Linked DNA regions of Mus musculus: regions 2, 3 and 4 are each reported to be linked to region 1. The links are microRNA targets in miRTarBase. Many come from high-throughput screens and were not tested one by one. Region 1 holds a microRNA gene; each other region holds the end of a gene's coding sequence.

Region 1 (5,077 bases):
ACATTTCCAATGCTATCCCAAAAGTCCCCCATACCCTCTCCCCTACTTCCCTACCCACCCGTTCCCATTTTTTGGCCCTGGCGTTCCCCTGTACTGGGGCATATAAAGTTTGTGTGTCCAAAGGGCCTCTCTTTTCAGTGATGGCCGTCTAGGCCATCTTTTGATACATATGCAGCTAGAGTCAACAACTACGGGTTACTGGTTAGTTCATATTGTTGTTCCACCTATAGGGTTGCAGATCTCTTTAGCTCCTTGGATACTTTCTCTAGCTCCTCCATTGGGGACCCTGTGATCCATCCAATAGCTGACTGTGAGCATCCACTTCTGTGTTTGCTAGGCCCCGGCCTAGTCTCACAAGAGACAACTATATCAGGGTCATTTCAGCAAACACTTGCTAGTGTATGCAATGGTGTCATCGTTTGGAGGCTAATTATGGGATGGATCCCTGGATATGGCAGTCTCTAGTTGTTCCATCCTTTTGTCTCAGCTCCAAACGAGTAGTTATTAAGAGCTGGAAATGGACAAAGAAAACTCAGTTCAGTTATCATGGACAGCTGGGGAGTTCCAGTAATACTGTACCACTAAGATAAAACTAGTTAGGACATGGAGCTTGGATAAAGAAAAGAATCCCAGGTTAACTTAAGAAGAAGAACAAGTCTAGGGAAATTACTGTGATATGATAATGGTAAGGAGATCCTAACTTCGGAATCTAATTGGATTATCTTGCCAGCTGACAGTCAAAATACAAACTTAGTCATACTTGGTCAAACTTGACTAGGTACTGTCAATATTCTCTCTCTCTCTCTCTCTCTCTCTCTCTCTCTCTCTCTCTCTCTCTCTCTCCCTCTCCCCACCTCTCTCTCTCTCTCTCTCTCTCTCTCTCTCTCTCCCTCTCCCCACCTCTCTCTCTCTCTCTCTCTCTCTCTCTCTCTCTCTCTCTCTCTCTCTCTCTCTCTCTCTCTCTCTCCCCCTCTCCCCACCTCTCTCTCTCTCTCTCTCTCCTCCTGTCCTGGGGTATATAATCTTTGCAAGACCAAGGGCCTCTCCTACCATTGATGGCCTACTAGGCCATCCTCTGCTACATATGCAACTACAGATATACTCTCAGGGGTACTGGTTAGTTCATATTGTTTTTATCCTATAGGGATGCAGGCCTCTTCAGCTCCTTGGGTACTTTCTCTAGTTCTTTCATTGAGGCCCCTGTGTTCCATCCAATAGATGACTGTGAGCATCCACTTTTGTATTTGCCAGGCACTGGCATAGCCTCGCAAGTGATAGCTATATCAGGGTCCTGTCAGCTAAATCTTGCTGGCATATGCAATAGTGTCTAGGTTTGGTGGTTGTATATGGAATGGATCCCCAGGTGGGGCAGTCTCTGGATGGTCCTGTTTTCAGGCTCTGATCTGATCTTTGTCTCTGTAACTCCCTCCATGAGTATTTTCCCCCCTTCTAAGAAGGAATGAAGTATCCACACTTTGGTCTTCCTTCTCCTTGAGTTTCAAGTGTTTTGCCAATTTTATCTTAGGTAGTCTTAAGTTTCTCAGTTAATATCCACTTAACAGTGAGTGCATATCATGTGTGTCCTTTTGAGATTGGGTTACTTCACTCAGGATGATATCCTCCAGATATATACATTAGCCTAAGAATTTCATAAATTCTTTGTTTTTAATTGCTGAGTAGTACTCTATTGTGTAAATGTACCACATTTTCTGTATCCATTCCTTTGTTGAGGGATATCTGGGTTCTTTCCAGCTTCTGGCTATTATAAATAAGGCTGCTATGAACATAGTGTACCATGTGTCCTTATTACAAGTTGGAACATCTTCTGGGTATATGCCCAGGAAAGGTATTGCTGGATCTTCTGGTAGTACTATGTCCAATTTTCTGAGGAACCACCAGACTGATTTCCAGAGTGGTTGTACCAGCTTGCAATCACACAAACAATGGAGGAGTGTTCCTCTTTCTCAACATTCTCACCATCTGCTGTCACCTGAATTTTTGATCTTAGCCATTCTGACTGATATGAGGTAACATCTCAGGGATGTTTTGATTTGCATTCCCCTGATGTTTAAGAATGCTGAACATTTTTTCAGGTGCTTCTCAGCCATTTGGTATTCCTTAGTTGAGAATTCTTTGGTTTAGCTCTGTACCCCATTTTTAATAGGGTTATTTGATATTCTGGAGCCCTTTTTCTTCAGTTCTTTATATATATTGGATATTAGCCCCCTATCTGACTTAGGATTGGTAAAGATCCTTTCGCAATCTGTTGGTGGCCTTTTTGTCTTATTGGCAGTGTCTTTTGCCTTACAGAAGCTTTACAATTTTATGAGGTCCCATTTGTTGATTCTCGATCTTACAGCACAAGCCATTGCTGTTCTGTTCAGGAACTTTCCCCCTGTGCCCATATCTTTGAAGTTTATCCCCACTTTCTCCTCTATGTGTTTCAGTGTTAGGTGGAGTTCCTTGATCCACTTACACTTGAGGTTTGTACAAGGAGATAAGAATGGATCAATTCGCATTCTTTTACATGCTACCTGCCAGTTATGCCAGCACCATTTGTTGAAAATGCTGTCTTTTTTCCACTGGATGGTTTTAGTGCTCTTGTGAAGTTCAAGTGACCATAGGTGTGTGGGTCCATTTCTAGGTCTTCATTTCTCTCTCTGTCTCTCTCTGTCTCTCTCTGCCTCTTTCTTTCTTTCTTTCTTTCTTTTTTTTTCTTTTGTGTGTAGTATCTGTCATATAGTATTAAACCGAACTGTTTTCCTTATAGACACAATTTATTTTTACACACACACACACACACATATATATATATATGTGTGTGTGTATGTGTGTAAATAACAATGTTAAAATAGTAATGAGCCATGCTTAAGATCTGAGCATATGTAGCCTTCCACTGTGATACTTTTCATTTCCTGATATTTTCTGGTGATCTCACAAAGAAGAGTGTAAGATTATTTACCAAGAGAACATCCGAACTCCCTTAACTATTCTGGGCTACTTTTTACTTTTATTTTGCAAGCTCTAATTGTACTTAATTCCTGGCAATCACCCTATGATTTCACTTAAATCTCTATTAGCAAAACTTTGAGATATCCTTCAGTTGTCAGTATGGTAGCATAAGGCTCTTACAAAAAAATTAAGCTGATTCCCGAGAAGTCAACATTCAGACATTGGTGCAATCTTTTTCCCTAATAATTATTTTTTCTAATCAAGCCTGTGTTTAAATTTATGTTACAGCATTTCCTCAACACAGATCAACACTTCTTGATAATGGTTTATTTTAAAGTTAATTTTTATGACCAAAATACTGGCTTCACTTTAGTTGAGGTACAAAAACATTAAGTTCACATTTTAGCATTTTTTTCTCAGATACTATAAAAGATTGATAAGGAATTAAAATATTTTCATCTCCCCATCAATACAAATGCTAAATTCACCACTGAGTTAAAACTTTATTTGCATAAGATCCCTGCTTAATATTAGACCTTAAATGATTAGGCTGTTGACCCCTTCCAGCTTTCCAACTTATTTTTTTCACTTCTTTTTTTTTAAGATTAATTTGTATATTTTATCTATGTGTGTATACTTCTGCTCTCTTCAGACACACCAGAAGAGATTCCATTACAGATGGTTTTGAGCCATCATGTGGTTGCTGGGAATTGAACTCAGGACCTCTAGAAAAGCAGTCAGTGTTCTTAACCAAGCATCCATCTCTCCTGCCCCCCTCCTTTTTGTTTTACTTCTATTCTTTTAAATATATCAATCATGAAAGACTGAAATGATACCTCTGCCAATGGGGAAGCAACACAGCCATCATCTCTGTTAGAATAAAAATCAAGAGGAGTATGAGCCTGACTATGAACCTGGCTTTTGTTCCAGGACAAAGCATGTTGCATAAGCAATTGTCTTGCTTTCTTTCAAGATTATTATTTGATTCTTACAGAGGTCTCTGAGAACTCAGACTGTACAGGAGTTAGGATAGTGCTGACTCCAACCTAAGAACCTTAACAGTGTTTATTCATAGCAGGGCTTTCAAAATCAGAGTCAACTCTCAAATATTCCTTCACTGAGCAATTAAACTTTAACATTTTCAGTCCTCGTGATGTTGACGATTTTCATCAGTGAATTCTGTCCTTAAAAATTTTGTTTTGCTCATTCATCACACATTTGTTGAAGTTTTCCATATGTCTATGTTAATGAAAAATTTATTCTAGCTAGCCCATATAAATGACACAGAAACGTGGTATTTTATTTATGCACTTCTCCTGGCCACTTGCTCATGGTCCAGCTCCATGGATCACAGCCTTCCCTCTCCATCTTCCTCTCTTTCTCACCCATAGTCTCTCTAGTGACCCCTCACTTAATTTCCACTCAAGCCATGCCTTCCTCTCTCTTCTGCCCATTCACAGCCTCTAACTTTTAATTAAACAATAGCTTTAAATTGAGGAGCAACATTTACACAACACAGGACCAGTGCACCCAAGAATTTATCTGTCTGGTTAGTGAACAGATCTTCATAATTTGGTGTTTGTATTCATAGCAATATACCAAACCCAACATGTGCTATATGGTAACTATTTACTATATGGTAAATATCCTGATATGTTTATATGAATTTATTTTAGGAAGTTTCTACTGTGGTAGATTTCCACATTACATCCTCAAATGGTCTTTAGTTTTATTTTTCCCTCCTGATATTTCCTCCTTTATCAGACCTTCCCATCCCTACATCCATTAGTTCTTCCCTGTGCTATTACTTTCTGTTAAGGCTTTATAGCACAATGCTCTGTACCCGCTCCTTGAAATCCATCCCCTGAGTGACAGCCTTACTCATCTCTTAACATCAGTGAGGATGCCAAACAGGACACATATATCTGAAGAAATAAAAGTAACATTGCCATTTTTTTTTTGAGACAGGGTTTCTTTGTATAGCCCTGGCTATCCTGGAACTCACTTTGTAGACCAGGCTGGCCTCAAACCCAGAAATCCTCCTGTCTCTGCCTCCCAAGTGCTGGGATTAAAGGCATGCGCCACCACTGCCTGGCTTGCCAATTTTTTTTTAATGTGATTTTAG
Region 2 (5,077 bases), not on the chromosome of region 1:
TGCATGGCTTCTTCACCTCTTTCACCACAGCTGACTTCAGAGTTAAGCAGGCACAGAGGGATGGGAGTAAAAGAGAAAGGAAACAAGTTGAGTCAGATCCATACTAGACTATGTGAAGCAGCCATGGCTCTCCTTTCTTCCAATCCCCGCTTGCTAACTGATGTCCTCCATCACCAAGATGAACTGGGTTGGCTTGCTATTGACATGTGGGCAATCCATTCAATAAAGCTGAATAGTTTCCATCCCCTCTATGACTTGGTCCATGTTTTCAATGGCTTGCCTTCCCTGTTGGGTCCTCCCAGTACCACTGACTCCTCTCCCTTTTCTTTTCTTCTTTCCCCTGAAGCATGCAAACGCAAAGAGCAAGAACCAAACAAAGACAGGAACAACTCGCAGAAGAAATCCCGCCTGGTGTTCACGGACCTCCAACGCCGAACACTCTTCGCCATCTTCAAGGAAAATAAGCGCCCTTCGAAGGAGATGCAGATCACCATTTCCCAGCAACTTGGGCTGGAGCTGACCACTGTCAGTAACTTCTTCATGAATGCCCGGCGTCGCAGCCTGGAGAAATGGCAAGATGACCTAGGCACAGGGGGTTCTTCATCCACCTCCAGCACTTGTACCAAAGCATGATGCAAGGACTCTCCACCTGGGCACAAGTCATCTCCAAATGAGGACAACACATACCAAAAACCAAAACCAAAAACCAAAACCAAAACCAAAACCAAAACCAAAACCAAAAAAAAAAAAAAAAAAAAATCACAAAGACATCAGATTCTTAGCTGGGGCCCTTCACTGGTGACTTGAAAGCACAATTCTCTTGAAACTTCTAATCTAGCTGTAATCATAGGCCAGGTGTCCATTTTCTTTTGTTTCATTTTAAATGGCTACAGAGTCCAAGTACACGCTGAAAGTTAATCTCTTTGAACCAGACACTATCCTCTGAGTATGCTAAGCATCCCAGAGACCCAAATGGGGCCTTCTTGGAGTGAGTTAATCACAGCACAATGTCAACCAAGTTCAGTGCAGCTGTAAGCATCAATAGCCCTATTCAGGCCCTGTCAACCTCTTGCTAACACTAGTTTCCTGCAAGTCATAGTGGATATTTGGCCTGAGTATAGACACAGGATTCCAAAACACTACAGAAGAATTTAACAAGAAAGGCCTCATTTGCTCCCCAAGTGCTTAGCCTCTTTATATCACAGTACATTAAAAATTCTCAGCCATAACATTACAAAAAAAAATCAGAATGGTAATTACTGAGCACAAGTTTTAAATATGGAAATCAATAAAAAAAATCCAAGGACATGTTTTTCCAACTCAGGCATCTTTTCATTGGATAGTTTAGAAAACTTTGATTTCAGTTTACGATTTTTCTTTTCTTTACCTCCTGGAAATCTCATGTGGTCTTCTGGATCCGTCAAAAAAAAGTCAATTCACTTGAGCTCAAAGTATCAAGCACAACGAAGATATACAGAAATAAGGAAGGCTCTGGTTTCAACGCATCCAGTTTGACAAGGCCGTTTACATCAGTCTTTACTGTTGTGAAGTCATTAGGGAATTATTGGGAATATGGCTTCAAGCACATTTTGCAGGTTGTTACAAACTCTGTTTGTACATTGCGCAGATGCACACTCAGGAGGCCAATTTAACTGCTACAGTACAGGAGCAAATGCATCATTTAAGAAGATCTAGATTTTTTTAGATCATTACTGTGCCCTTGATTTACAAGTCACCCAGGTCCTCCTATGTGCATTACAAGTGTGGTTTGTTCTTGTTCTTGCTGATCCGTGTTGTTCCCTATCGCATCCCATTAGTTGGGATGTCTCTATTGTTTTCTACAAAGAAACAGTTTAATAAGCCACTTCCTGTCGTCTCTTCCTAACTCTCTTCCATTGCTGATTCATCCTTATAATACAGCTGACAGAACCTGGAGAGAACACAGCACACCAAAGAAGCAGAATACTGCAAACCAAAGACATTTGTTACCTGCCATTTTCTAGCCTACAAATACTGTGATTACTTTTAGAGATCAGAGCACCTCTGTAACTCCGAGTGGCATTCGGCTCTTGTCTTGGGCTCACCACCTGGCTGAGCAGACCAGCTACATCAATGACATTAGCCAAATATCCGGGCAGTGACTTCGCCACGCCAGCCCTGGTTGGTCACCTTCCCATAGCAAGTGAAAGAGGGCCCACAGAACTCTGGGAGATTACAAAGGTCACTATGTGCATATTTACCAGTGAATGGCCCCAGGTGGGCACCAAGGGGTGTTCGGAGCAAGCCAAAAGCTTCGATGACTCTTTACAGACACTTGAGACTGACTTTTGTATGAATTGCTTAATTGAAACCAAAGAAACTTTTTTTCTGCACCTACTTCTGCAACAAACAGAACTGTCCCATTGAATGAGTAAATGGTTCCACCAATCACTGGAAATCACCATCAACAGAAAAAGCACGCTAGAATGAAAGAAACAACAAAACCACCGAAGACACACTGTGTTCAAACAGACCTTTTGGGACGCTCTTATTTTTTATTTTTTTATTTTTTGGAAGCAGATTTGAAAGAAAGGGTTGAGACACAAATCAACAGACGAGCCTCAATGGCTGCTGCTTCATATGACAACTCACTCGGTAATCTTAACGTTGAAGATTGTCTTTAATTTGTGCCTATGCAGTTTTTCAAAAGAACATGGAAACAGAGCAACAGAAACCTCAACAGCTACAATACCAAAGATGAGGATTCTCACACCTTTTTGTCTCAGTTCATTACCTTCTTTTGCCTGGCTAAAATACTTATAGCGTCATTGATCTGTACAAAGGTAATCGATTTTGTTTCTTTAAGCAACAAAAGGAAAGGGTCATTTGTTTGATTTTATTGTTTCCCTTTAGTTTTGTTTTATGGCTTTTACCCAACATGGAATCTCCCCCCTACACATAAAGTTCCATGGACTCCAAACTTGAGATGTCGGGATACTGAAAGGTGTCCCTTTCTCTCCTCAGCAGAGCATGGGAAATACGATTGTCGCTTGAATGTCTGTGGCTTAACCCTTAGACTTGGTTGCTTCTGTGTTCAGTGTTGTCATTAGGGGAGGGAAGGGGAGCAAGGATCAGGGGTAGGAGTCTAGGTGATCCGCCCTTTCCAGAACCAAAGAATTTATAGAGAAATTTACAACCTCATCTTCATGTGATTGCCACATGTTAACAGGGCTTCATTTGGGGGTGGGGAAACATGTAAAAAGAATCGCCAGTTTCTACTTTTCTATTAGCTTTTTAAAAAAAAAAGATCAGCTGTAAAGTTGCATTTCTAAAGAAAGATATATAGATATATATATATTAAATGTACGAGTACACGTATAGATTAACCCGCATTGGTGACAACCCAAAATTTTTGTTGTCCAACTATTTGTTTTCTCGTATGCACCATTTGTTAAGCATTCATTTCACAACTGTGCTCATTTCTCATGCCATTCCAGAGTTAAATAGCCACTGTGGTTGTCTGGCAGTATTCATAGTTCTATGTAAGTTTATGGTAAAAGTTGAAAGTCCATTTAAGCATTTCTACATGTAACCTGTTGATGAATGGATTCATGATGTAAGTGGGTTTTATTTGTAGTCATCTCTATCCTATGCCTCAACCATGATAAGCAAGGTTTATCCATCAGACTAGCTCAGAGCTGTGCTGCTGGCAGTAGGGAACTTACCATCTATCATCATTGGGAAGGCTTGGTGATTCATTCCCATCTGTTGTGGAGCAAAACACCAGAAATCCATTTTCCAGTAGATACCATTATCCACCAGAGTATTCTAGATTCCTCTCAGTGAGTAGATCCAACCGAGGCTTCTCCTGGGGAAATCCAACTTCTATTGCAATAGGTCGATCAGGTCTCCTCGAGGTAGTAATTACCAGTTTGCACTGACAAGCTTGAGTGCAACCATAGCTGGCACTGGGGTCGATCGGGATTGTTGAAGGGAGGTATCTCAGTCCTGGAGAAAAGGCATTCAGTAGACTGTGAGGAGAGTTCCAGATTCCTGTCCCTGGAGAGCCGCATCCTCTGCCTTGCCTCTTTATTCACCCAATGTGGGCAGTTCTGTGGTGGGCACATCATATCTAGAGCTGAGAGAATAGGACCCTGTGTTATTTTTCTAATTTGTCCTATCTAGGGAGTGCTCCTTTCACTTTCCCCTTGTTCCTTGCTTATAATCCATGAACTTATGGTCAAATGACCAAGAAAAAGCGTATTTCCTCAGAGGCTTGCTCCCATTTCAGCTGGGTCAGATGAATATTAACTTGGATCTTACTAAATGAGTCTTTGTGACTTGTGGACAATGGAATGGGTGGTTCTGCTTGAGTACAGACTGCAGAACAAAGCATCTTGCTTTGGTTAGTGACTGACACTAATTAGCAGCATTTGAGGCTTTGCATCCTTGGAAGATGATGGCATGAAGGAAAAAGGCAAGAAATCCCCTCTAGGAACTCTTGATAAATGTCTTTTCTATCTCAGAGAATACTTGTGTTCAAAAGTTGCTTATACACACACATACACATATAATGTGTATACACATTATATGTGTATGTGCATCTGTACACATATGTATCCAAATTTCAGGTCATACAAAGTATCGTTTTGCTAGGTAGCTGAAAGAAAAAGTAGTATACTGAAAGGTTATAGAATTTAATCCACTGTCTTTTCTCAAAGCCTTTAAATTTTTTATTTTAAATAACAGTCTCAGAGAAAATAACCATTTGGACTTGAATATAGCCTACAGTCTACATTCTTAATCCAAAAAAAGTTCCAGGCTTCTGCCACCATCACCAACAGTGGGATGCTGGGAAAGAATAGTTCACAAGCAAATTTTATCTTCATAGGGTGACAGAAACCCAAAGAATATTGAGTGAAAGATATATTTTTCCTTAAGCCTTCTTATAACTAAGCTCTATTTTTGTTTCCCATGTGATTTTAATGATTCTAAGATTCAATTCCCTCATTCTTAGAATTCTTTTAAAGGACAGCTAATATATTAAAAGTACAATGACAACAATAAAATTGAATTCCAGTATTTAAAAGATTTCCCC
Region 3 (5,077 bases), not on the chromosome of region 1:
CTCTTCTGGCACATCTGAAGACAGCTACAGTGTACTTATGTATAATAATAAATAAATCTTAAAAAAGAAAAGCCAAAAAAAAATTTTTTTTTCCTCTTTCTGGGCCAAAATAGTATGTTCTGACATAGTTTAACAATTAAAACACAGGAAATATCTTTTCTCCCCAGCTTGAAAATAAGGAACTTCGAGAGTTACTGTCCATCAGCAGTGAATCTCTGCAGGTTGGAAAAGAAAGCTCTGTGGCTCCTGCCTCTCAGACCATCAAGTAACTGGACTTCCGAAGGCTGGCTACAGCTTGCCCGTCAGAGCGAGAAGCCGTGCCCTCCTCTCCTGCCGTGTCCAAGAGTCCTGCCGCAGACTTGACTTAGTGTTGGGTAGAGGTATGGGGTGGCAGTTTAGAATTGCCACTTGGTATTCATTGTCCACTAACTAGTTTGGGGTGTACTAGTGAAACTAGACAAGTCCCCCATTGCTGGGACAGAGATGACATTTGTCACTCTAGTCCGGAATCTCTATAAACTGTTACCTGCAGTTCAATGTTGTTTTTCACAGCTTGGAAACACTGAACACTTTTATTATAAGCCAGGATTTTATTTTATATAGGATTATAAAAATTCCTTCTAAGAGTTTTTCAAAGATTTAACTTTTTAAAAATACATATTTGGTGTAAACCTAGATTTTTTTTTTCTTCCACTTGTAAAAGTAGCATGACTTCAAAGAAGCAGATTGGCAGAGTCTCTGAGTGACGTCGCTCATCCATGGGGTTTGATCCTCTCCGGTGCTAGGAGTTGGCACTTTGTGGTCAGGTGTCTTTGCTCTTAATTTGAGAGAATCTATTAGTCCCCAGGAAATACGCTTGAAAACAAGTAAGCCGGGTTCGCGTTGCTCCTCCTCCTCCTCAAGGATCCACAGTCATTCAGAGAGTGCTGAGGAACTTGGGCCTGCCCCATCATGCACAGGGAGCTATTAGATGTACATGACTGTACATGTACATTGGACTTAAATGCCAAAAATAGCTTTTATTTATTTGACCAAGTAGTTTTCCATTCTGTCTGCCTAAGGAGTCTTCGGCTTAGGTAGTTGCCTTGTATGAGACATACACATACACACACACACACACACACACACACACACACACACACATACCTCACTCACAGGTTCCTAGCTCCTAGGCACTTTCATGGACACACAGCTGTGCTGTGCTGTGCTGTGCAGAGCAGCACCACTGGGATGGTTTAGACCGGCATCAGTACTTTGCTGTCTTTCCATCTGCTGGGTTTTCTCATGGAAGCATTTTATTACTCACAGAAAGTTACCACATTCCTGATGCCATGCATTCAGGCAATCAAGAACAACCTGAGATTCTAATAGCTCCCTGTCAGTTCCTTCTCATCTTGGTTTGCTCATATGTCAGGTTTATAAATAATTCCTTTTGCACTGTTTGCCCAGATGGACTTTGGTTTTTGTTCCCATGTTAACTTTCACTCCAGCTGCTCCCCTTGATGTTTCCCCTAAGGGCCCCAAGTGTGTACTCCACAAACCCATTCAGGGGTGGGTTCCTTTACCACTTGTCAGCTGTCACAGCAGGTCCCATCACAGTGAGAGCATTATCAGTCAGTCTATTTCAGCAGTGAGCATGGTGTCCCTTTCTTTATCTGCCTTCTGTTCCCGTAGCACTCACTACAAAGGTCTTTGCATCTAGCTTTCAGAGGAATCTCTCCATTGCAGTCCTGAGGGTAGAGCAAGCTTTCGGTGCCCTGTGTCGTATAAATTCTGCCTGGTGTTAGTGCTGTGAAGGCATTGCAGAGCTAGCACATTGAATGGAGAAAGAATGTTTCACACTTGTGTGAAGATGCTAATATCTCTTGCAATGGGTGGAAGTATTTAGTGTATAAAATTTTAGTATGAAATTATATTAACTAATAAAAACCTTTTTGAGAAGATTTGCTCATTTTACTGAGAAATGAGTCTAAGAAGTTGAGCTGGAAAAAAAAAGGAAGTTTAGCTGAGCAGTGGCGATGTACACCTGCAATCCCAGCACTTGGAAGGCAGAGGCACATCTCTTGAATTCGAGGACATGCAGGTTTACCTAGTGAGTCCCAGGAGACTACACAGGGAGACCCTGTCTTGAAAAAAGCAAAAAGAAGTATAGGAGATTTTTTTCACATATTCACATACATAGCAACCATGGCAAGTGTTCATGACATAGATGTCATAAGCAGCTTGCAATTATTCAATATATTCAGCAGTATAAACCTTTGAAAAGCACATTAACAACCTATTCATTGCAGAAGTCCTGAATGTATAATTTACCACTGAAGTCTATTTCCATGTTTCTTAAAATGCACCTAATGAAATAGAAATTTATGGATGGAATCTGGAATTTACATCTTAATAATCATTCCAGAAAACGGCAGTACCGGTTTAAGAACATGTCTGTTAGGGCTAGGAGATGGCTCAGCAGGTCTAAGTGCTTACCATGAAGTCAGATGGCCTGAGTTCAATTCCTCAGAACCCACATGAGGGAAGGAGAGAACCAACTTCTAAAAATTACCTTCTGACCTACAACACACAAACAGATAAATTGTGTATGATGTTCTGTGCAAATTATTTCACTAGGAGTTAAAAACAAACCGACTTTAAAATGAGAAGAGTGGTAAAGGGATATTACAGAGGGGTGGGATATAGCAGCGCTATTCCCCTCTATGCTGCCTGCCCGATAGCAGCAGATAAATTGGGCATGGTGGCACATGCCTGTAATCCCAGAATTTGGAGCAGAAGCAGGAAGAGCAGAAATCCAAGGTCATTCTTGGCTACATAGTAAATTCAAAACCAGCCTGGGCTACAAGAGACCCTGTCTCAAAAAACTAAACAAAATGTTGTGCAGATAATTTTGATGCAGTGTGTTACATCAGATGTAAGTGTAGGATACAGCACAGAAAGGGCTGTGTTATTTGAGAATCTAAAAGTTGACCAGGGAAGGGGGTGGGGGAGGGGTGGTGCTAGGAGAAAACATAGAAAACAGCTGCAGAATCGAAGTCCAGGGGGTCCTGCAATGGTTACTTCCTTATACTAAGGGGTTTTCTGTGTCAGCTGACACAGCATCCCCGCTTCAGTTCTTTACAGTTCCATACATACTAGAAGGTTCTAATTTGTCCAAAGTGGAGCCAAGAATCACACTCAGGCACTCTTCAGCACATTTCTTAAGGACCAAGTTAAGGCACCTTTAAATGCACATAACTGTGGAGTTCATGGATCTTGATCGGCAAAGTCAGTCAACAGGTTAATTAACAGGGTAAGAGAGACACTATGGCCTGTGTGTTGTGAATACCGTGACTTCTGTTTAGTTCACGCTGCTGCATGGTCCCTAGAATGCTGTGCCTGTGAGTGGTCCTCAGTGTGGAGGGAAGGGTGCATTTCTGCACAGGGTGCCTTTTTCCACGTTGGCTCCGTCTGTGATGCTGTTATCTTGTTATAGGCTACTGCTGTGTCAGATGTCATGCCCATGTGGAAGACAGGGAAAAAATAGAAAACTGCCTGCCCTACACTACAGACACATGGGGAAAGCAAACGTTTCCAGAAATTCTAATGGAGTTCTCTCCATATCTGCCTCACTTATTAAATAGACATGTCTAATTGCAAAGGAAGCTAGGTACACAGCCGTGCCAAATAAAATCAGTATCCTCTTAGCAAAGAGAAATCATACTGAGAAAACAGTAAGGCCTGATTGTTACAGTAAGGCATTTTACCGTAAATATAATTTTTAACAAATTAAAATTATTAGCTGCAGGGATGCCTACGTTGAGTCACTAAGAAAATGAGCTGTAGTGGACACTGTTATTTCTTTACTGACTGCTCAATGTCCTACCCATGCCTGGGTAAAGTTTCCCTGCCTAACGTGGCAGAGCCTCCCTCTTTCCTAAAGAATCTGGAAGTACCAGTTACCCAGTTTCCCAGCCACCTTGGCATCGAGGAAAGATTCAGCTGCTTTGAATTTCAAAGTTAGTGATATGGCAAAGCTGGGAGCCACACAGAAACCTCTGAACCTGGGGACCAGCAACACAGGCTGCTGCTGGGTTTGGCTCCATAGAAGAGCAGCAGAGCAGGTCTGGAGTGCTAGCAGGCAGCTGTGGAAGACCCAGTGTATGCAGTGGAGACTGGAGACTTGCTGCAAACATCCTTATAGCATTAGACGCAAACCTCTTAAGTCTCATTTCCTGGCTGCCCAAGAGATCCTGAGAAATATTTTTAATGAAATTAATAAAACCATTTTTGTTGAAATTAGCCTGAGTTGCCTATATCTAAGAAATCTGATCAGGAACAAATTTCTAAACAACCATGCACATATAAATGTTATCAGTGCTTATTTTTGCACTTAAATTTTTATGTAATATTGGGCATTTATAAAAGGATAAGATGCGCTGGGTGTGGTGGCACACGCCTTTAATCCCAGCACTCAGGAGGTAGAGGCAGGCGGATTTCTGAGTCGAGGCCAGCCTGGTCTACAGAGTGAGTTCCAGAACAGCCAGGGATACACAGAGAAACCCTGTCTCAAAAAAACCAAATAAAACAAAACAACCCCCCCCCCAAAAAAAAGGGATAAGATGGCAATGCAGGCACATTATCATGCATTCATTACCTAATTTAAGAACTCAGTTATTACCAGTGTGGGGAAAACACCTGCCTAGCATACACAAAGCCCTGGCTCAAACCTCAGGCACCACAAAAGCAAAACCCAAATATTACCAGTACTAGGCAGGCCACTTAGCCCACTTTTAATCCCAGCACTCTGGCTGGAGTTAGCAGCAGATAGATTTCTATGAGTTCAGAGATGAGCCTGATCTACATATTGAGTCCCAGAACAGTTAGGGTCATATAGTGAGACCCTGCCTCAAAAACAAACAAACAAAAAGGCATGCTTTAATCCCAGCAGGAGAGAGGCAGAGGCCCACCGATCTCTGAGTTCTAGCCTGGTCTACGGTGAAGGCAGTGGTGCTCATTTTTTTAAAATCCTGCTTTTATTTACCCCAGGGGCCCAAGGGTCCACACTTCTCAACAGAAGCACTTTCTAAGCAGT
Region 4 (5,077 bases), not on the chromosome of region 1:
CATGCCTACTGCCCTCTCTCTTTCCCCTGCTCCTCTCTCCCTGGCTCCCATGCCTCCCACATCCCATCCATCCCACAGGTAGTCTCTTTTGCCTTAGTGTCATGAGCTCTTAGAACTTGCTGTTACTTTCCTAATATTACCATCCTCCAAAGGTTTAAAAACAACAAAAAACCCTAATATTCATGTCCTGGAAGTCTGCAGGAAATGAAGGATAATATGACTATTAGCTAACAATTATGTTTCATAGCTGCAGATTTCTGAACACATTCATATCAATTACTCAGTCCACATAACTCAAAGAGAGAGCTAGGATTAACAAGCCCATTTTACAAATGAAAAGACTGAGACAGTGCCTTGAATCACACTGTCACACTGTCTTTGACTCTTAGGAAGCAGGATTCTGTTCATAGTACTTGCCTGCTTAGCACCCACTCACCAGCATGAAACAAGAATGCCTCCTTTGCATATTTTATTTCAGAATAATGAACCAGGAGTCTTAGACCTCCTGGCTTGCTTGCTTTCTCTTCTCTGTTTTTTTTTTTTTTTCTTACCATGGGCTGAGAAATATGTTTTTGTTTTCTTTTCAAGGGAAGCTGAAAGTGAGCCTTCATTCTCTCTGAACATCTTTTTCCAAAGCCATTTACCTTTATCTGGGTCCCCAAAAAGACACTAATTCACAAGACAGTCCACTAACGAGCTTCCCTCTTTGTCTCCCTCTGTCTCTGTGTTCTGCAGTTAATAGCCAAGATACCAACTATCACGGCAGTCTGCAACTTGCATGGGGAGAAGCTGCAGGTATTTAAGCAGTCTCATCCAGACATAGTGAATACACTGTTTCCTCCATTGTACAAGGAGCTCTTTAATCCTGACTGTGCTGCGGTCTGCAAATGAAGGGGACGAGAACTCTCAGAGTCATGGAATGCATCGCCGTTAAGACAAAAGCAATGTGTTCATGGGGACTTAAGGAAAATGTCACTACTGCAACATTAGGAATGTCCTGCACTTAATAGAAATATTTTTCACCGCTACAGTTTGAAGAATGTAAATATGCACCTGAGTGGGGCTCTTTTGTTTGTTCGTTTGTTGTTTGTTTGTTTTTGAAATGATCATAAATATACAAATATAGGACACTGGGTGTTATCTTTTTTAATTTTATTCGGGTATGTTTTGGAGACAACTGTTTATAGAATTTTATTGTAGATATATACACAAACAGAGCCGTACTTTCCATGATTACTCTTCCCGTTGATTGATTGTTCGACTCTAATTTAAGACGATTCCACTTACTAGGCTTTACCTATTTCTATGTTTTTAGGTAGTTGATGCATGTGCAAATTCGTAACTAACTGTCTTGGAAAGTACTGTGCATGTATGTAATGAGTATATAATATGTAAGAGTATTATATATGACTATTACGTATTCATGCACTGTGGCTTAAAATACCATGCCCACTAGCAATGGAGGTTCAGTCAGGCTTTCATGTGATTTGCTGTTGTTATATGTTACTTTTATGTTAGACAATCAGGGTTTTCATTTCCAGCCAGAGTTTTTATCCATCCATAACAACATGATAGGACCCATGCAAAAGGAAATCTACAAAAGAATCGGGGTAACACATAATTGTTCTTTTAAAAGCTCCATTTCTATCAATTACTTCAAAGCCCCATCAAGATGGCACATACCGGGAAGAGGGGAAGCCAAAAGGATTTGAAGCCACTTTCCTGTTTTATAGACCAGATAATGATATTGTCTATTTATTACCATATTACAAAATATTGAGGTTCCTCCACATTGGATTTGGAATCCAATTCTGAATGAAACTTCACTTTGGTGGTTATAATTTCTTCAAGACAACAAAAAATTCAGTCTATAGATTATCACCACCATCAACGTTTTTAGAAATATTTGACTAGAAGTATAAAACAAGTTCCTTGTACCCATTTTGTGTAGATATTTTCTAACCATTTTCCCAACAAAAAAAGAGAAATAGAGCATACAAAGTTAAGAAGTAAATTCACTAAATTATACTCATGGTAATTTGTTAGAAATGAGAAAATAGGCGGGAGCCTGTTTTTTCAACTTCAAAATGCTATATTATAAAATATAGAAAAAATTCAGATTAGAAAACAGTAAATCTTTTGTCTATGGGACTAATATATCCCAATGCCAAAATTCTATCCTACACAGTTATAAATGACATCCTCTATTCAAACTGGTTATTTTTTAGCCACTAAAATGTATAGAATGGAACGGCAACCTATACAGGTTCTTCACCTACTTTCCTACAAAATTAAGCACCAGAAAGGCATGAGTTAGAAGCTATTTGTTCTCTCTGTTCCTGGAAGGCCTAGGTCTTTAGTATGAACTAGTCTAAGCCACACACACGCACGAACATGCACACAGATGACACAGCCACCCACAGACACACACACATACACACACACACACACACACACACACACACACACACCGCTTTGTAGAAACTTGGGTCTTTTGGTTTGGGTTTCTGGGTTTGTTTGTTTGTTTTTTCTTTTCTTTTCTTTTCTTTTCTTTTCTTTTCTTTTCTTTTTTTTTTTTTTTTTTTTTTTTTTTTTTTTTTTTTTTTTTTTTTTGAGTCATTTTTAGTCCCTTATGCTCTCTCAAAGTTCTGGATTGAGAGTCATCTTCAGGATGCCTCAGAACTCCAGTGGATGATCAGAGCACAGTAGTGTTAGTCTTGCCTTTCAGAAAACAGGGGCCTTTCTCACCTCATGATTGATGAATTCCAAGCCATTGGGGGAAAACAAAAAGACTTTAAAATAATGAATCTCTTTTTCAACCACTGTTATATTCAATTAATTTAACTACATTGAACCAAATTACCTTTGGTTCTGAGAAGACAGCTGTAGACTGCTTATTATGCTGCTACAGGGACTCAGTTCTTTTTGGTGTAAATGTCACTCCTGCTAGCTCTTTGTATAAAGAATTAATTCCAAGAGTCATATTTCCTTCTAATGGAAAGATTACTTTACTGATTGCTAGGAAAACAGGGTAATGGAAGGCACTCAATTAAACCAAGCCGTTTCCAAATGCGATATATGTTTTATGATTGGCTTGTGATAGGAAATGCTTACTGTGTCTACTTGATGTTCCCCTTTGAGCTTTGAACTCATGTCAAACTTTGTTTTCATTGTTCTGTTGGCCCAGTGTTTCCCATTGTCAGCCTGAAGATCCCACTGGGCTGCAAAGGGGAATCATTTGTTGTCTTCAGTTTACCTTGGAGGATTTACATCAGCTCAATTGATGAAGTAGCTAAGAATTTTTTTCCTCCCTTGCCCCATGGGTGGTGTAGGAAAGAGATTGTTCCCCACATTTGCCTCAGGAGATACTGGTTTTGAAATTGTGTCATTTCCACTAGCCCTAGCCTTTCATTGGGATGGCATGAACCTTTTGAAGCAGAGGGACAGGAAACAGAGCTAGGAACTGAACCAGAACCAAACAGTGGTAACTAGGACCGGCTCAGCCCACTTTCCACCCAGAGGAGAGAGCTCCAGTTTTGGCTTCAGTTGCCGAGTTTTCCCTTTAAAGAGAAGTCATGTTTTTAACGGTAAGGAAGCCTTTAAACACTGCCCTTTGAACATCTCAGTTGACTACATGAAATTTCAGTAAAAAACAAAAACAAAACCAAACAACAACAAAAACTCTCTTTACCACACACAGTCTCAGCAAGCTGTTCCTTTTCCTGAGAATGGGCCAATGTTCAGAATGTGCTAGGATGAGGTGAACATTGGAAGAAGGAACTGGGCTCTGAAGTCTCCTTTAAACCTCAAGGATGACAATCACTGCTTGATGCAGATGTTGCACTGAATCTGCTCAGGGATGCTTCATTTAAAAAAAAAAAAAGTGCGTCGAGAAGGGGGAGGGGCAAAACAGGAAACTGAAAACAAAATGTAAATGCCATAAATTGAACAGGTCAGCGAGAGACCCTCCCTGACAGGCTTCAGAGAGGCCACAGTGGCTTAAGGCAGAAAATTGAATGAACTTCTTTTTCTTCTTTGAACCTGCCTAGAAGTTCTACCCAAGTAGAGACATTAGTTCCCTTCTCTAGAATGAGCAAGGAACAAGATAACAAGACTGCCCCCCCCCCCCCACATATCTCCCAATTAATCCAGGCTTCCTGTGTAAATCCTTAGCAAAGGAAATACAGGGTCTGATCTAAGGGTCAGAGGTCAGAGCTGATAGGCAATTGAGCAAAACAAACGCTGTGCCTCTGTACTCTGTAGAAAGAAAGACAAATCTTGAATAAAAATGAATAATTTCAAATCTTGGTTGGCAGTTACAAATGGCCACATTGTCTGTGAATTGGTCTATCTTTGTGGAACATTTTTCTGGGGCTCTTTTTTTTTCCTGATAGTACATTGAGGGTCAGGATAGACTTTCCAAACACACTCTGCATTTTCTTTGTTTTATTTCTTTCTTCAAGGCTCTGGGCTAAAAGACCTCCAAGTAAAAAAGCAGAGAATACTGTGGTCTTAGGCGATTAGATTCCCCTGGCAGCAGCTGGAAGACTCTGCATTGTACCCAACTGAGTATTAATGGTAGGCATCAGGGGCCATCAGTGCATTTATATCATGGCTGCCTTATCAATCAAGCAGGTTACATCCCAGCAGACAAGCTGAGCTATTTGTAGAAAGCCTTGCAGATGGATGGCCAACTCTTACTGCCTCTTCATAGTACTATGTGTAAGGGGGCTCAAATTCTAAAATCCAATACATGGGTCCTAAGGACAACCAAAAATTTTACTTGCCTCTCCCCCATAAACACCAGAAATGAGTAATGACGGTGTAAGTCCACATCCTGTTTATTCCACAAACAGGAAATTTTTGAGTGCTGGCAAATCATTTTTCCTGGCTTTTGTTTGGTTGGTTTTTTTTTTTTTATTTTAGGGGGTTTTTCTTGCCCATATTCACTTTTGTTTCTAATAAAATTACCACAAAGGGCAGTAGGTTCAGGCAAGAATGTCTCTACTCTGACAAACACCATTCTGTAGTTAGCAGTAGTTCCTAAGCACACATCTGAAGGGAAACTTCTGCCGAG

The links. Region 1 holds the annotated microRNA mmu-miR-1187 (UAUGUGUGUGUGUAUGUGUGUAA, at 2,815-2,837, shown strand). A microRNA usually pairs through its seed, bases 2 to 8, with sites in the 3' UTR of a target mRNA and lowers its output. Matches are read on the target gene's strand: a 7mer-m8 pairs with bases 2 to 8, a 7mer-A1 pairs with bases 2 to 7 and ends in A, and an 8mer does both.
Region 2: miRTarBase lists Onecut2 as a target of mmu-miR-1187. Seed matches in the 3' UTR shown: 7mer-A1 at 680-686, 7mer-A1 at 2,934-2,940, 8mer at 4,537-4,544, 7mer-A1 at 4,544-4,550 and 7mer-A1 at 4,588-4,594.
Region 3: miRTarBase lists Sike1 as a target of mmu-miR-1187. Seed matches in the 3' UTR shown: 7mer-A1 at 1,099-1,105 and 8mer at 1,138-1,145.
Region 4: the mRNA of Rorb is a reported target of mmu-miR-1187. Seed matches in the 3' UTR shown: 7mer-A1 at 1,614-1,620, 8mer at 2,429-2,436 and 7mer-m8 at 5,049-5,055.

The regions. Positions count from the first base shown.
Region 1 is chr5:82,796,724-82,801,800 of GRCm38, reverse strand. Mir1187 (microRNA 1187) reads left to right here and starts at 2,736; the gene lies at 2,736-2,857.
Region 2 is chr18:64,385,999-64,391,075 of GRCm38, forward strand. Onecut2 (one cut domain, family member 2) reads left to right here. Exons shown (of 2, transcript NM_194268.2): 2 at 347-5,077. The coding sequence ends at 633. Among named protein-coding and RNA genes, the nearest start is that of Onecut2, 48 kb to the left of the region's middle.
Region 3 is chr3:103,001,541-103,006,617 of GRCm38, forward strand. It overlaps Sike1 (suppressor of IKBKE 1), which reads left to right. Exons shown (of 5, transcript NM_025679.3): 5 at 168-2,374. The coding sequence ends at 269. Among named protein-coding and RNA genes, the nearest start is that of Sike1, 8.3 kb to the left of the region's middle.
Region 4 is chr19:18,933,694-18,938,770 of GRCm38, reverse strand. Rorb (RAR-related orphan receptor beta) reads left to right here. Exons shown (of 10, transcript NM_001043354.2): 10 at 736-5,077. The coding sequence ends at 891. Among named protein-coding and RNA genes, the nearest start is that of Rorb, 170 kb to the left of the region's middle.